Lytechinus pictus: one gene and its partner. The protein of the gene in region 1 interacts with the protein of each later gene in a biochemical or structural test. Links are inferred from orthologs where the notes say so. Each region holds a gene or a part of one and is shown on either strand. Other genes may lie near its edges.

What was found. The genes of interacting proteins can lie anywhere in the genome.
Region 2: the proteins of bromodomain adjacent to zinc finger domain protein 1A-like (region 1) and SWI/SNF-related matrix-associated actin-dependent regulator of chromatin subfamily A member 5-like form a complex in vitro, tested with the Drosophila melanogaster proteins (3 studies listed by BioGRID). The link is inferred for Lytechinus pictus from reciprocal best matches to the Drosophila melanogaster genes Acf and Iswi.

What each region holds. Positions count from the first base shown.
Region 1 is NC_087251.1:554,947-563,187, reverse strand, and holds the start of bromodomain adjacent to zinc finger domain protein 1A-like, read left to right. Parts: upstream 1-5,109; 5' UTR 5,110-5,390; exon of another isoform or gene 5,391-5,395; intron 5,396-5,547; 5' UTR 5,548-5,613; coding exon 5,614-5,726; intron 5,727-8,241.
Region 2 is NC_087249.1:49,687,312-49,695,466, forward strand, and holds the start of SWI/SNF-related matrix-associated actin-dependent regulator of chromatin subfamily A member 5-like, read left to right. Parts: upstream 1-4,868; 5' UTR 4,869-4,921; coding exon 4,922-4,999; intron 5,000-8,155.

The sequences.
Region 1 (8,241 bases):
TCGCATTATAATTTGTTGGTGGGATATGTGTCTCTTTCTCATGAGTCATATACACTGTTGGTCATAAAGGTGGAATAAAATATTTTTGAATAAAAATCGACAGTTTTGTTGGTATTTGAAAGGCTACGCGTAGACAAAATGGTAATTGAGTGATTACATAATGTTTCCCCATTACACAGGTGACATAACATGAGAAATTTGGATTACGTAATAAATTCTTTTGTTGTAGACTATAAAAGCCTATGCATATGGTATTCTGTCCCTTTCCCTGATTTAGCACTGTATATAAGAAGGTTGCATTTTTTCGAGTTCCGGCCTTGTACCGCGTTTGAAATAAAAATCCGTAGAGACGTTCCCTGGACTATGCCTGGTCCAACGGCAACAGCAACACGCGAGAGAGTGGTAGCACTGCGACAGGAGGGCAACAAGCAGACTGATATCGCAGAAGTCCTAGGGATATATCACAGAGTGCAGTCTCTAAGACCCTGAAACGTCAACGTGAGGCGGGGAATGTGCGGCCACGGAAATCTCCAGGACGTCCCAGATTGACCACAAGAAGAGATGATCGCCAACTGTTGAATTTCAGCCGCAGAAACCGGAAATTGCCCACGAGCCGTCTTCGTCGCTTGTGGAGGAGATATCATGGGATCAACGTTTCCCGGTCAACCGTTAATCGCAGATTGCTCCAACATGGTTACCGAGCACGACGGTTGACCAAATATCCACGCCTGTCTGTTCTCCACAGAGTAGCTCGTCTTCTTTGGGCTAGGGAGAGCACAGAAGGCTTCATCCAGAACATTGGCAACATGTGGTCTTTACGGACGAGAGCCGGTTCATCCTTGACCGAAAGGATGGGAGACAACGAGTTCGTCGATTAGCCGGGGAAAACCTTTGCGATGAATGTATCCACGAGATGACTCAAGGCGGAGGCGGCTCAGTGATGATATGGGCCGGCATCGATATGGAGGGAAAACGCCACTGGTGGTACGTTCCGGACGGAAACGTCAACGCCGCCGCCTACAGGGATATATCTTGGAGTTCCATTGTCTTCCATATGCAAGACGAGTGTATGGGCACAATTTCCGACTGCAGGATGACAATTAACGCTAATCGACCACACAGGGCCGCTGCAGTAAGGGAATTCCTGGAGGCAGAGGGCGTCGTACAGTTGCCATGGCTAGTGTTCTATACAGGGACACTAGCCATGGCCAGCTTGTTCATCGGATATGAACCCCATAGAGCATGCATGGGATGCCCTAGGCCGAGCCATCAACGACAGAGAGGTCATTCCCCAAAATCTGCAGGAGTTGGCAGATGCTCTGAGGGAAGAATGGGACGCTATGCCTGTTGATGTCATCAACAAGCTAGTGGACAGCATGCCACGACGTCTGCATGCGCTGGTTCGTGCGGGTTCGTGCCAGGGGTGGACATACCCGATACTAGTGACTGAGTAAGAACAATGACTCAAGTTTGATGCAAATTTGTCCATGACATCACAAAAAAGAAGTCATCTGGAAAACTGAGAGAGATTGAAATTAAATATCTCATGATCCTTTAATTTACTGTATATTGTCGTCATTGTTGTTCTATGATCATGACATCCATCGCTTAGGACATAAACTTGAAAAATATCACTGTCAAACGTGTGTAAAAGGCAGAATAATAAAGTAAAGTGGTTATCATGCACCATAAATGCCATATTCGAATCATGTTGTAATAATTACGCTGTGAAAATTTGGTGAAAGAAAATATTCTACCTTTATGACCAACAGTGTATATACATATATATATATATTGGCGAAGAAGCTCAAAAAGCATTGAAGCTAGAGACGTAGCCTGGATTTCTTCAACTTTTATTAGTACAAGCTTTCGGCCATTTAGTTGGGCCTTCTTCAGGTATCTGAAGATGTAAAATACATAATGGCTTTACAATTACCATGCATATATTTTGATTAATTTACTAAATATAGGTATATCTTAAAAGAAAATGTTTTACATCGGTAATGTTTAATTAGGATTATCCAATAGCTATTAAAATCAATAATAAAAGTTGAAGAAATCCAGGCTACGTCTCTAGCTTCATTGTATTTTTAGCTTCTTCGCCAATATATTACTCACTGAAGCACCCACGCAATGTTTAGGTCCTTGCTCATCACAATTTTATATATATATATATACATTTACATATATATATATATACATACATGCTAACATACATATTTATTTATATATAGGCCTGTGTGGGTGGGTTGTGTGATTGAGCGCCTTTGGAACGTTGATTCATGATTTTGCCCCCCCCCAATCTGAAAAATGGATCGACGCCCCTGCCTTAGACCACTCGGCCACGGACATTGGCAGATATTGGTCGATATTGGTCGACATTGGCTCACGTCAGCTTGCTATAGCTGGGCCGGGGGGGGGGGGGGGGCTGGGGCTGGCGGGGCCAGCTCGGCCCCCTTGGATCCGCGCCTGGTGATTGCGACCAATTGCGACCATTATTGCATAAAATTGAGCTATGATAGACTCCATACACAATGTTATATGCCGTCCATCTTTCTTCCCGTTCTTTATTTTCAATCCTCGGCAGCCCAATCGTGTTATTAAGTTCTCTTTTTTTTTCTTGACGGTCTCTTTTCTTCATTTTCCAATTTAGTTTTTGGCTCATACCATTCCATTCTACCTTCATTTTCCACTTTTGTTTGCCATTTTCGTCATCTTTTTTCATATGATCATGCTAATGCATTAGTATTTCGGGATGGTTTGTTCTTTCCCACCTGTTCCTTCCGGGACCTGTTCTCCTTTCCTTCCTTTTGCCGCTGTCCTTCCGTTTTCCTTAAAAAAAATGTTTTTATTTAATAGTTTTCTTTTCACCTTTCCCTTTTTCAGTTTTCTTTTCTTTTTTTTCCTTTTCCCTTTTTTTTCTCCCTTTACTCGTTTATTGAAAAAGTGCGAGCGCGAAGCGCGAGCTTTTTTATTTCATGTATTTTGTCCTAAAATTTAAACATTGTGGGCAATGTTTGTGATTCTAAACGAGATGTGTATCCAACTAAATCTTACTGTGAGCGCGAAGCGCGAGCAGAAATTTTTATATACGTTTTGATATGATCAGAAACGGATCTAGTAACGGCTGCTTGTTAGCCATGAAGACGTTACATATTCCAATTATTAAACAATGCGAGCGCGAAGCGCGAGCTGAAAATTTTGAAATTTCTACCTGAAGAATGGAAATTCTAAGCACTTTTTGTAATCATGAAAAGGATAAGTAACTAAATAATTGATGCGAGCGCAAAGCGCGAGCGGAGAAATCGAGATTTACACCTAAAAATGGGACACTCTATAAATCATGAAAAGGATGAGTAATTGGAAATCTTTATTAATAATGCAAGCGCAAAGCGCGAGTAGAATTTTTTTTTAAATATACGTTTTGATCTGATAAAAAAAGGATCTGTTAACGGCTGTTTGTTAGCCATGAAGACGTTTTATATTTCAACTATCAAACAATACGAGCGCGAAGCGCGAGCTTCAAATTTTGACATTTCTACCTGAAGAATGGAAATTCTAAGCATTTTTTGTAATCATGAAAAGGATAAGTAACTAAATAATTGATGCGAGCTTGAAGCGCGAGCGGAAAAAATCTGAGATTTACACCTAAAAATGGGACACTCTATTCAGGTTTTGTAAATCATGGAAAGGATGTGTAAGTGGAAATTTTCCTACATTAATAATAAATTTTTTGATAATTTGTGATCTGAAACTGGATAATGATTTATATAGAGAACAAGATGCGTATCGGAGTTTGGGTATTCTAAATAACTTTTTTATCATGAAAATCAATAAAGCGAGCGCGAAGCGCGGGCTTGAAATATTTGATATTCCGATCGGAAAAAGTGTCGATTTAAGCTCTGTTGCGAGGTGGAAATGGATCACAGTTAGAAAAAAGAGCTGATATGTTTCATTATTATTACTTTGAATTCTGAAATAGGACCGGGACATTCTATAAGGACATTATCTTCCTATTTCTCTTCCTAAGCGAAATTTAACTTGTCGATATTACATTCTGAAAAAGGGACAATTAGATTATTGAATTGATATCTTATTCATTAATTTAATAAGCCTAATGAGAGCGCAAAATCTGCTGATATCATGGCCTGAAAACTGAACATTTAAAGTATTTTAGTAATTATGAATAAGATGCATGAGTTAATATCTTTTCAACAATAAATGCGAGCGGAAATTTTTGATGAACTGTCATGAAATGGGGATTTTAAGTAGTTTGTTTAGAATTAAAATTTAGATAAACATAACTAACCAATCAAAATGCGAGCGTGCAGCTTTAGCTGATACACTTTGACAATTTGACCTGAATAGGGATATTTTGAGAACTTTATGGAATACAGGAAAATAATAGGTATCTTACAAATCAAGTTTTGCGAGCGCGCAGCGCGAGCATAAAATGTTCAGACCATAAAATATTCAGACCATAAAACATAAATTTTTACAGAGCACTTTAAAAAATCAATTTGTAAATCAAACAAAATAATGAAAGTTCGATTTCCGAGATGAAATATGTTTTGTATATTGACTTCAAAATTTGATATTTGAAGCTCCATATTGAGCAAGATATGTAAATCACCTAAAAGGCAATGCGAACGCGAAGCGCGAGCGAAAATTTTATATAGTGACATGAAATATTTTTTTGATAATTTTTTAAGTCTTCCCCTCATCTCATTTTATTCACTCGTCTTCCTCCTCTTATGTTTCCCCGTCTTTTTTCTCCTCTCTTTTCTCTTCTTTTTCTTTTTTCTTTCTTTCCCCCTTTTTTCTTTTTTTTGCTCCACCACAGGGCTCCACCAATAGGGGGGGGGGCCCGGCCGGGCCCCTCGGCCCTCCCCCGGATCCGCCTATGCGTATAGGCCCATATCAAAGCAAATTACGATTAATCAAATTCTAAATTTTCCCATTTTGATTCTCTCTCCCCTTATTTTTTACCAGTAAAAGGGGGGGGGGGGGTGGGAGTGGCACGTAGTTACGCCACTGGTTGCATCGGGAGCTCGTAGGCCCTCGAGAGGGCCATGTTAGTTTCTGCTCCATCCACTGCATTATACCGGTACAGATAATACATAGCTCCATGATCGTATTGAGGTGCAAATTCGCTAACGCTGCTCGAGATAGCGCGCGCTGCATGAACAGATCGAGCGCCATTTATCCATGACCCATATCATGCCAGTGCAGTAGTAGTCGAATCGTCGACGAAGCGCGCCCTCGATCATTTGAAGAGCTATTTCCCAGACTTTTCGCTGGAGTACTTGAAGTACTGACTGGGAAACTTCTATTATTCCGTTTTTTATACTCGAGAGCGCATACCGTACTCCAGTTGAACAGTGCATATGGTAAGGTAAATTAGACATTGTTTGTTATTTTTACAATTTTGTGAGTGTTATCAAGATGATTCTTGCAAGTTGTTTTCGTGAATTCCGGCTTCGTGTTGCGAAATAGTCGGCTTGCCATTGTTCAATTCATTCTGATCGTGTGCTCTCTCTCGTACAGATCGTGAGTACCGGTAAGGCGGTATACTGTCTGTGGTTTGGATGTTCACGCCAGGTCTAAAGCAAAATGCCATTGCTTCGTCGTCGAGAATTTCGACCTGTGAAATTACCAAAAGATCTGAAACCAACAGAGGAAGTTTTCCTGTGTCGACTTACAAATGAAATCTTCAGAGATTATGAGTAAGTAATAATATTATGACTATAGTATGATACTGATGATAGATCAACATCAGTCTGCTAAATTTAAACTTTATTAAACTTAAACTTAAAGTAAGACACCTGACCGTCCTCTAAATAAAATTAATGTTAATTTTGTAGACTAAAACTAGTAAAAGTAAAACTAAGTCCTGATGCGATGTGTATGATGGGGTGTCCAAACTTCGCGCACTTTTCAAAAATATTCATCGGGCTTAAATCTTTTCACAAAATATTCGTAATTTATACAAAACCAATTCAAGAAATAGTTACCACATTGACGGCAAGATCGTAAACTATAAAATCATGGACGAAAATATAAAGAAGGTCAAAGGGATTCGCCGGTATCGCGATCTCAAAATTCTATTCCGATCGGCGAATGCGCGCTGTGCTGGAAAAGCGTTCAGAAAAAGTGTGACCTAACTTCGCGGACCAAAGTTTTTGTGGACATTTAAACAAAAACTCAAGCTCAAAAAGTGAAATATTTATATCAGATTGATGGCAAAATGCTATAGAATAGGTTAGTACCAAATTTAACTCACATTTTTGATGATTTCTGCTTGCGAAATGGTGATATCGTGATGCTTGTTGAGAATATCAGAATTCTTCAAAACGGGCGCCAACGGTGACAAATTTGCCGATCTTTTGCCAATATTTTCATGAATACTGAACTCATCTTAAAGTAACTTACACAAAAGGGTAATTTTAGGTCGCTTTTCACGTTGATGAAGTCAGATTTTAAGGATATTGGCTAGTTTTTGAGATAATGACCGTCCGCGAAGTATGGACACGCGCGAAGTTTGGACTCACTGCCATACTGTTTCAGTGTTTGGTTTCTTTACATGTTCATGCATATATGCACACGCACAGTGCAGTGTAGTCAATCAATGTGTCCATGTTATTGTTACTGTTGACTGTTGTTAGCTTGCAATGCATTTGCAGAGGCAAAACTAACTTTAGTACTATACTATCTATAGTAGGATAGATCTACATGTAGATCAAACGATTGACGTTAGATCTAGAATCTAGATCTACTTCAGTACTTGATTCTTCTACTAAATTGTGGGTTCTCTTGCCTCCTTGAGTCCTTCATTCAATCAATCTTGAACTTGTGTAATTGTAAAGATTTTTTGCAGGTTTTACTTAAAACGTGCATAATGAGCACCCTGCTTTGGCATGTTTGGTGTGTTACTGTTAACCAATCATGCCAATTGTGAACTTTAATTTTAACTTTTAGTATACTATAATTAGTGTAGATTTTACTTTTTTAAAATCAAGGCTATTGAAAAGAGTATTCATGGATAAGAACTACTTTTAGGGCTTAGCCTTAGCCTAGGCCTGGCCTAGACTACACATGATTTAGTAGGTGATGTATACATTTGGGCTGGGTAATTGCATTACTGTTTTGCTCGAACTTTGTATGGACCAATTACATGTATCCATCATGAGCAGTCTGAACTGAGTGTAGATAAGTTTTCTCTTATAAACTTTTGACTTGTTTTGTTTCCATAATTTTGATTTAACGTATTCAACAATTTTTGGTTGGTCAGGACAAATATGCCCAGCAGGCAGCTGCAATTTAGTCTGCCACTCTGCCAGACCAAGGAGGTTTCAAATGAGATGGAGTAACAGCAAATAAAATCTCTTTGAACAAGGTTAAAAACCGCCAGCAGAAAGTATGTCAGGCATGCACTTTGCTCAACATCTCTTGCAATTGTGTAGACAAATGATTCCCGCATGACTCTGCAGCTATAGGTCATACATAAAGGGGTAGTATGCTTTTGTGATGATAATTACTTTTTCGCCGCATCTTGTTCTGGTTATATGTGTAGTACATAATTCGGAGGCATGCGGAAATAAACTATGCAATATGTCCTGAAATATGACTCAAATTTGCTCGACTGGGCATGTGCGGGCACTCATCTGGCATTTATACAGTAATGAACAACAATATTTCACCGACCACATTTTTTCATTTTTTCAAATTTTCATTCGCCGCAAACGATCGGAAAAGTGTTAAAATCTGGTTTCAGTAAAGGTCAAATTCTTTTTTTTTTTACTAATTAAAGGTTAATTGATATAATCTGGGAAAATATCTCATTGTATTAGTGCTTGGTTATTGATGTTTTGTCATGCATTCAAATTTCAGTTTGTTTATTAATATGAAAGATGGAAAATTGATACAAATGGATATTCGTAAAATTTCACCCCTTGGATTTCTTCACTGAAAATGGCGGCTTCGAAGGCGGACATCAAAAGGTCCTTATTGCCGTTCTTTCTTTTGTGCTTCCTTAGAAATGAACAGCTGCTTGAATAAATTTGTTGCCTGTTGCAACTCCAGTCATAGAATCTTCTTGGCCAGACTAAGTGAATATCTAGTCAAGTTTCTTGTTATATTGTTGAAATTAAGTATTGGCAGGACCAATATCAATAGAATAAAACAGTATTATCAATTTATCATAACTGAAAAATAATAGCCACCAGTCATTACAAGAACAGG
Region 2 (8,155 bases), on another chromosome or scaffold:
GTTTCGATTATAATATGAGAATTTAACTTTAAATTTATCGTTCTGAAATATATTACTTTTTATCAAAAATAAGGTATGAAACATTGAATCTTTTCTGAAATCTTTTATTTAAACTGCTGTCCTATACGATACTTTTTTTTACGAAACGTAAATCATGCATTGTTTTGAAATTTGTTTCTTTTTAGAGAAAACTTTTCGAAAGGCTTTTTTCCCTTGATGATTGAGAGGAGAACTTATTGAATTTTAAGTGGTTAACCTAAACTCGGAAAGTATCCTTCTTAGTTTTGTTTACTTTGTTTTAAATGTTCGTATTTTGTTATTATAAATCATTCAGGGAACTTCATCATGTTAAAGCAGCGCAATAAGACCACTGACGAAGTCACGATGACATGAAAAAGACGTAGTGAATCGATGAATAAATAAATGAATTATGAAATAAACCGATTATGGGGGAAAGCAAAATGCAATGAGAATATTAGCCCATACAAAAATGTAAAATATGACATAGCAACTATATGCTGCATTTAAACAATTTCATTAAACAAAACGGGTTTTTAACGGTCGATTAAAGTTTATCCAACATGATTGTGTAGTCTTCCAATATGATGTAAACGGCGTTGAACGTGTGGGGGAATTTGTATCGAATGAAATAATTGTTACTCTGTAAGCAGGTACGGGAAGATCGTATATGGTTAAGAATAAGTGTAAGTTTCTTATTAAAAAAATAAATGAATTTGATGTACATGTGATTTTATTGTTTTCTTTGTGTGTGTGAGTGTGTATATTTTTTAAATATTGGTTTCTTCATTTTGTTTCTGCAGTGGCCGCGAATGTGAGCCAAAACAGACTTGATGGGGGCATAATGTGGAAAAAAATAGCCTCTTTAAAATGAACATCCAATTTGTGATAGAGTGTGACATATTGAACAATTAATATCACATTTCACCCCTTTCCTGTACCGTTTTTGTTGTTGTTGTTGTTGTTCTCCAGGGGGGGGGGGGTGGATCAGGATGGGATCAAAGTGATGGGTTGCCGGGATGGCCGGGTTCGGAGATGTGAGAGAAGGGAAAATAGAGAGAAGGAAAGAGAGCTGAGAGACATGTGAGAGGGAGAGAGAGAGAGAGAGAAAGAAAGAAAGAAATTCCGACAGGGGAGAGGGTGAGAAGGAGAGGGCGGATTGGCGGATTTTATATGACGGCCATCAGAACACGGAAAGTTAATTGATACAAAACAACTTTCACCGTGAAGAAAATTATAGTGCTAAAATGTGCCTAGACCAAAGAGATATTGACAATGAAAAAGAAATCTTTGGCTTTTGAATGAGGGCAATAAATAAGGATCAATCCGGAAAGAATGACCCTTAATCATCAAAAATAACTTTTAGAATTCTTTGTTTTGCTGCATGAGTTGGCCTATATGGACATGCAGTGCGCTGCGTGTACTGTAGTAATTTACATGAAAAAGTAAACTGCGAGTTTTCTTTGTGTAGGATAACAAGAGATGGCGCTGTTCACAATCGATAGCGGTTTTTACATTCGATTGCGATTTTCGATACTTTGACCATGGGTCGTAATAGGTCCATGCTTTGACCAAGGACCTACTAGTATTTGGTTCTGAACAATATAGGCACCTAAGACCGCCACTTTCGGTAGTCGCATTTTTATAAGGGCAAAATTTTTGTTTTTAAATGAAAAGTTGAAGGCTTTGGAAAAAAAAAAAGCTAGACTGCAGTCAGGCACAGATCAAGAGGAGGGTAAACGATGTCGTACCAGGCTTTGGTGAGCCAAAATAAGGATTCTTTTTGACGGATTCCGGAAATAAGCAAGGGAAGTATTATTCTCGTTGCTAATGTTATTTTAGGGGGTAAGAATAAAGGGTAATTTTCAGTATTTTTTTCTTTTGGTGACTGTGGTCAAAGTGTTATCTTTTCGGAATGAGATCCCTTTTCTCAGTCTTAACTGTGACAATTTTCTTTAGTGTCATTAAAAAAAACCAGATTTTTTTGTACATGCATCGGCCAATGCATGGGCATGCCGTCAAAGCTGAGTTGCCGCTCACTGATTGAATGAAAGGTGAGAATTCTTCATTGGTGATTGGTGGCGATGCTGATTTCTAGGTGACCTCCGATGACCTCCTAATTTGGAGGGATATGGGAAGAAATAGGCCTATACCGTCATTGCAAAGTTGAGTGAAGATGAATTTGCATATAAAAAAAATTGCATGTAACTAATTGCAAACCCACCACAGAGAAGTTTACCCTGATGACAACCAGTTTACATTGGGTTTGATGTAAAAGCAGACAAAAATATTGCAGAAAAATATCGGCACTCCTATAAAAAAAAATTTTATGATGATCCTTCAAGGAATAAAAAGAGCTATGAATTTCTTGTGAAAGAAGGCAAAATCCAGACTGGTATGTGGTATCAGAGTTTATTCCAAGAAAACCAACAGCCTCGCTGTGGAACACAAGTGATAAAAATACATTTGTAAATACATATTGATAAAAAAATGACTTAAGTACTGCATTAATTCCAATTTCCATGTCATCAGTTGTTTCTATAAACAGGTTATACAATATGGTTATAAGTCACAAAATGCCATATATTATTCCTACATGCACACATGAGGGTTGAGCAAAATATATATATATATCTAAAATATAACCCCATCACATTGCAGTATGAATATATCAATTTAAAATAGTTCCTGGAGACATTGCATAATAACATGACATCTTTTATTGCAATAAAATAATTCCGATAAAAAATAAACTCACCGCCCACACTTACCCATTCCTCTAGCTGTCCTTTATAGGCATATACATACAAGCATTTATATCATTTATTGAAAACCATGCATGTGTTGAGCTAAATAGGAAAAAAATGAACATCATGGACCAGGGGAGTGTTTCATGAAAGGACATGTCTGACGTTTTATCCAAGTCCCATTTTATCCGACAGTTACCATAGGTGCAGTGCTTGTCAGCCAATCAGAATAAAGGAAAGATGTCAGATCTGACAACTTGTCAGACAAAAATATTGATGAAACGCTCCCCTGATCTGACGGTATTATCGAAAATAATTATGTTAAACAAAACAATTATTCAAAAAAAAATTACATCAACATAAACCAGTAAAAACTTAACTTGTCACGTTCATGTTATGCTAACCAATCAGATAATGCACTGTGAAATTATAACAATTGCAAAGTCGGAACTTCAGAGGCATTATAGAATTATTGACTATAATGATCCCATGGCCATGGGCATCATTATTGAGCAATAGTAGAACACATAATCAATAATTATTAGTCCATGTCAAGCATAGAGGGATGCTTGAATGCATCCATGGAAGGAATTTTGAAGAAAAAAAAACTATTCATTTTTTTTTAACTAAGCCAGTTCTGTAAGACCAATAACCGTATAGCCAATTTCACATTTCAACATTTAGATATTTGTGACGTCAATATGAGAGTATAGCTCCCCCGAAAATGTCATTATAAATTTTCAGAGCATGCATGTTGTTGTTGTTGTCAGGTTGTTTATTTGGGTTTTAATGCGAAAACATTCAGGTGTGAATATTGATGCTTATTTAATTGATAATTCTTATTTTGTGGTTATCTTGGTGTGATAGATTTGTCAGCGCTGCTTTAAATGGAATTCATAGGAGATGACTGCTTATCACAATTGAACAGCAGATATTATACTCGGCATACGGGAATGTGCCGCTCTAAAATCATTCAATGAACAACCCCCCTTCCTTCGATCTTGAGTAATTTCTCTTTTTCTCGATTGGGAGAAAATTCTTAATATTGGGTACACTTTTTTGCCAAAATTACCCTTAAATCACCCTCCAAACCAAATCTTAGTAGACATGTACAACGCCCCCCCCCCCCCGTATAGTTCCGAAGCCCGTTCTGAGGACCCTCCTATTTACAATTAGCACGCTCCAAGGCCCCCGTTTTTTGTCTCGCCCGCGGCACACCCCTACCACTTTTTAGTCGAGTGCCCCCCCCCCCCACAAAAATCCCCTGAAAAGTGAAAAGGGTGCAAATTAACACAACAACATTTAATTACTCTGCCAATTTGTTATGTTGTGAGAATTTTCATACAACACTGAAGACATGCCGAGCAATAAAAAAATCCTTTGGATGACTTTGTAAATATTATTTTTCTCCTGCAACCCTATCTCTCTCTCCCACTGACATTCTGACTGATCGCGATACTTACCAAACGATACTTTTGTTTATCGTTGAATTGCGCGCGCTCATTTGCAGGTCATCTGGTGGTTTCCCTTTGCAATTTGCACGCGAGTACCCTTAATTTCGTGCAAAAATGGCTGATTTAGAGGAGAGAGAAGACACCCCTTCACCCCTTGGGAACCCGGTAAGTAATTGTTAACCATGATGATGCTATTATTGTTTAATTTTGTCGGTTTAAGTTTGTTTTATTTGGTCTTGAACTTAGCGGCGTTTTATTACCCGTCGTCATTTTCATTCATTTGTCTTGGTCGGTCCCATGTATTGGTTTGGGTGTAATGTATGTTTTGACATGATAAACACTGAACAAAAGAATTGTGATGACTGAATCTGATAACAAGATGTTGTTGACATTGATGAAATTGAGAGTTTGATGTTGCCGTTGTTGGAGAGTACTGTAGCTGTTACAGCTAAGCGAACAATGTCATCTCAAGTCATGATGATAGTACTGATAGGAGACGTCAATTTTTTTCTGATTCTTAGATAGGTACGCTACTCTAGCGCGAGAGGGCGCGATTTTCGCGTCATCATTTTCGCGTACGAAAATGGCGACAAGCTGCTTCGGGAGCCGGTGCGAGCAATAACGGCAAGCCCTACTTGAGTCTCCTGTCTAGGATGGTAAACGTATATCAATGGGAATGAAAACGATGACATCATCTTCCCAATGCATTCAGCTATACTGCACGGTAAGCTCTTGCGACGGAGGGTCGAGATCGGAACAAAAATTGCACTAAAACAGTCTGTAAGTACAGTTTATGCATCAAATCATCATTATATGTTATTTTCATGGAATTATCAGACATATTACGCTAAAAATACATATGCTACTCGAAAATTGAAGTCGTAAGCTTTCATTTCTTACCTCATTCATGGCAGCATTTCTTGCCACCATTTGCCACGGACGAATGTTAAACGCCCTTGCTATTTGTTTCGTGGGATTTTCGTGGGAAGTTTGGCGACGCGTTTCGCGGGCTAATTTATGGCGGCTGCTAGGGTTTTTGGTTGCCCGCGGTGTGTAGTCCTGCGCATTGGAATTTGTGTAGCAGACCGTCTACCGTGATATGTCTGGTATTTCTTTGATTTAAAAAAACTTTTTCTTTTTTATAAATTAGGAATTGAAAACCAGACACAAATGTAGAAATCAGAAATACATCCCACACTGACACATTCATTTTGATTGAATAAAATATTGAAAAAAAATGGCAAATGACGCAACAACTTTCTGAATCTTCTCGAACCTAATTTTAGCCTTTACTTTAGTCTTGATTTATTATTTGATGATTATATTCTGTTGAAAATTCATGTAACATGATTTCTTTTGGCCTAATAAAACTTAAATTTTTTATTATTTTAAAAATGAATGGCCTAGATCTAATTTAATTCATTATCATTTTAATTTTCTTTTGTTTTCATTTTTTTATTTTCATTCAGATTAATTTCTTACCTCCATTTGAGCATGGCAATACTTACTGATCTGAAGTCGAGGGGCCCAACAATGAACAGACTTGGGCTGCATGAGCCGTCGAATATCTGTGGTTCCAAGAAAGCGTGATGGAAATGCCGCCTTAAAAAAACCAACCCCACCTCTGCCTCTGGGCTTTGTTCTTGGCGATCCTGCATTCCATTCAGACTGCAACTTTAAGCAGGAATTGTTCTACCAACTACTTAATTATTCACAAATATGAATTGCAGCTTTTAAATTGACAAGAAAGAAACAATTGATTTATCTCACCCCCCCCCCAACTGTCTTCTAACATTTTCTATCGCCCCAAACTAACACTTTTTTTCTTGTATGTCTGTTTAAATATTTTTATTTAGACTTTATGTAATTTTTTCATGATTTATTTAAGAAGTATGAGCAAAAAAACAAACAATTTGGCACATGCAGTAGAGAAGAGAAGGAACATAGTGTTGAAAAAGGATACACATACAGATCTGAATATTAAAATAAATTTTAAAAAGAAATGACAAATCCACACTGACACATGAAAGTATTCATTTTATTTTTTTTCCTTGTTGGCATTGGTTACATTAATTAACTCCACATAAAAATATAAATTGGATATTTTAACAGTATTAATGAAGTTGCTCAATAAAATTTAAAATTAGGTATTCTCATTGGAGGTAATGGTTGATACAGGTGGGTGGGTGGACCTGCAGCCACTAGCGTACCTATGGGGGGGGGGGGCAGACTGCCCCCCCGACGAGTCACAACCCATGCAAGGGACGTATCCCTGCCCTCCCCCCCTGATGAGCCACCGGTGGCCCCCTCCTTTGAAGTTTAAGACCGAAAGTACGAAATCCTTTATTTGTGGTTGAAGACTTTTTTGCTTGTCAAATTTTTGGGCGGACGATTTTGCCCCCCCCCCCCCCCTGTGGAAAATCCTAGGTACGCTACTGCCTGCAGCTCTATTGTTTTATTAGATTTTCATTTTTTATTGCTGGGGGGGGGGGGGTATTATGTAGAGCTGAAGCCAAATGATCTTATGAGGCAAGATTCAGTGTACAGCTCAATATGGTGCATGTAAAGTGATTTATTAAACTTTTGAAATATCAATTAAGAACTGGAATGATGAATGATATGAATATAAGAAATATATTAAATGCATGTAAAGTGATTTATTAAACTTTTGAAATATCAATTAAGAACTGGAATGATGAATGTTATGAATATAAGAAATCTATTATATGCTAGTTCATCACAACTTTAGCTGGATCTTGCTGCAGAAAGTGCATCGTGTAGTTCTACAAATATCTCTGGTGAGAGGCAGTTTGGCAGAGCGGATGCAATGCTTCATAGGGCCCCTAACATTTCTGTGGTAAGGTCGAATCCAAACTGATGTTTTCATCAAATGATACAGCCTCCTGGCTACAAAAATTTCCTGTAGATGAAAGAGAAAACAAAATAATGAATGCAATGAAATTGGGAAAAAAGTGAGGCTAGAGGAGCAAAAACAAAAGCAAATGGTTGTAAAGTTAGTACAGGAGAGGAACAAAATGAGAAGAAAGGAACTCACAGAAAAGGAAACAAAACAGAGAGACAAACTTGAGACTAGCTCCTTTAAAAAAAGTTCTGTATGGTGTACTATGGATCTGTAAAAATATTTTAAAATTATGTAAAGTTTCAAGGATTGAGCATGCATAGGAAATCACGTAAAGGCAAGGATATCAAGTCACGAATAAAAACAAAAAATGAGGGGGGGGGGAATGGGAATTACATCACCCCCCCCCCACCCCGCCTCTCCAAAAAAAAAAAAAAAACGACTTTAATAACTTGTCAAAACTCTATCTAGTATCAGCTTATGTTATTATCCTTTTTAATGTTATTGTTAGGGATCGAGAGAAAGGATGAACGCGGGGGGGGGGGTGCATTTTTCGGATTCATACTTTCAGGCATCAGTGTACTGAAGGGGAACATTTAACATAGGACTACAAAAAATTGCGGTGGACAGACAAGAAACAAGAAATGATGATTAAAATGAAAGAAAAAATTCTCGATCTCAAAACAACTTGAAAAAAGAAAGATGCAAAACCAAATGTTATCAACTCACTTACATATTATATTTGAAATCCATCCCAATGGTCTTCCATGTCGTAATTGTGCACTGTAATTCAGATAATCTAGTTAAAACATGTGAAATTAACTTCAAGTCTCAAATCAATCGTCTTGCACACTGTGCCTTGCATGCAAAACAACAAAATACTCCGATATATGCGTATCATGAACGCACATGCATATTTATGAGCGCCGCGAAAATGACCAATCTCATTCACAAATGATGCGCACTTACGCTTCGTCACCATGCCGCGAGAAGCGTTTATGCGCGATGTAAAATCTCCGCCCCGAATTGGCAATCCCCGAATGCGCATGCGCGGTGGTGATTGATACTCGATGGTC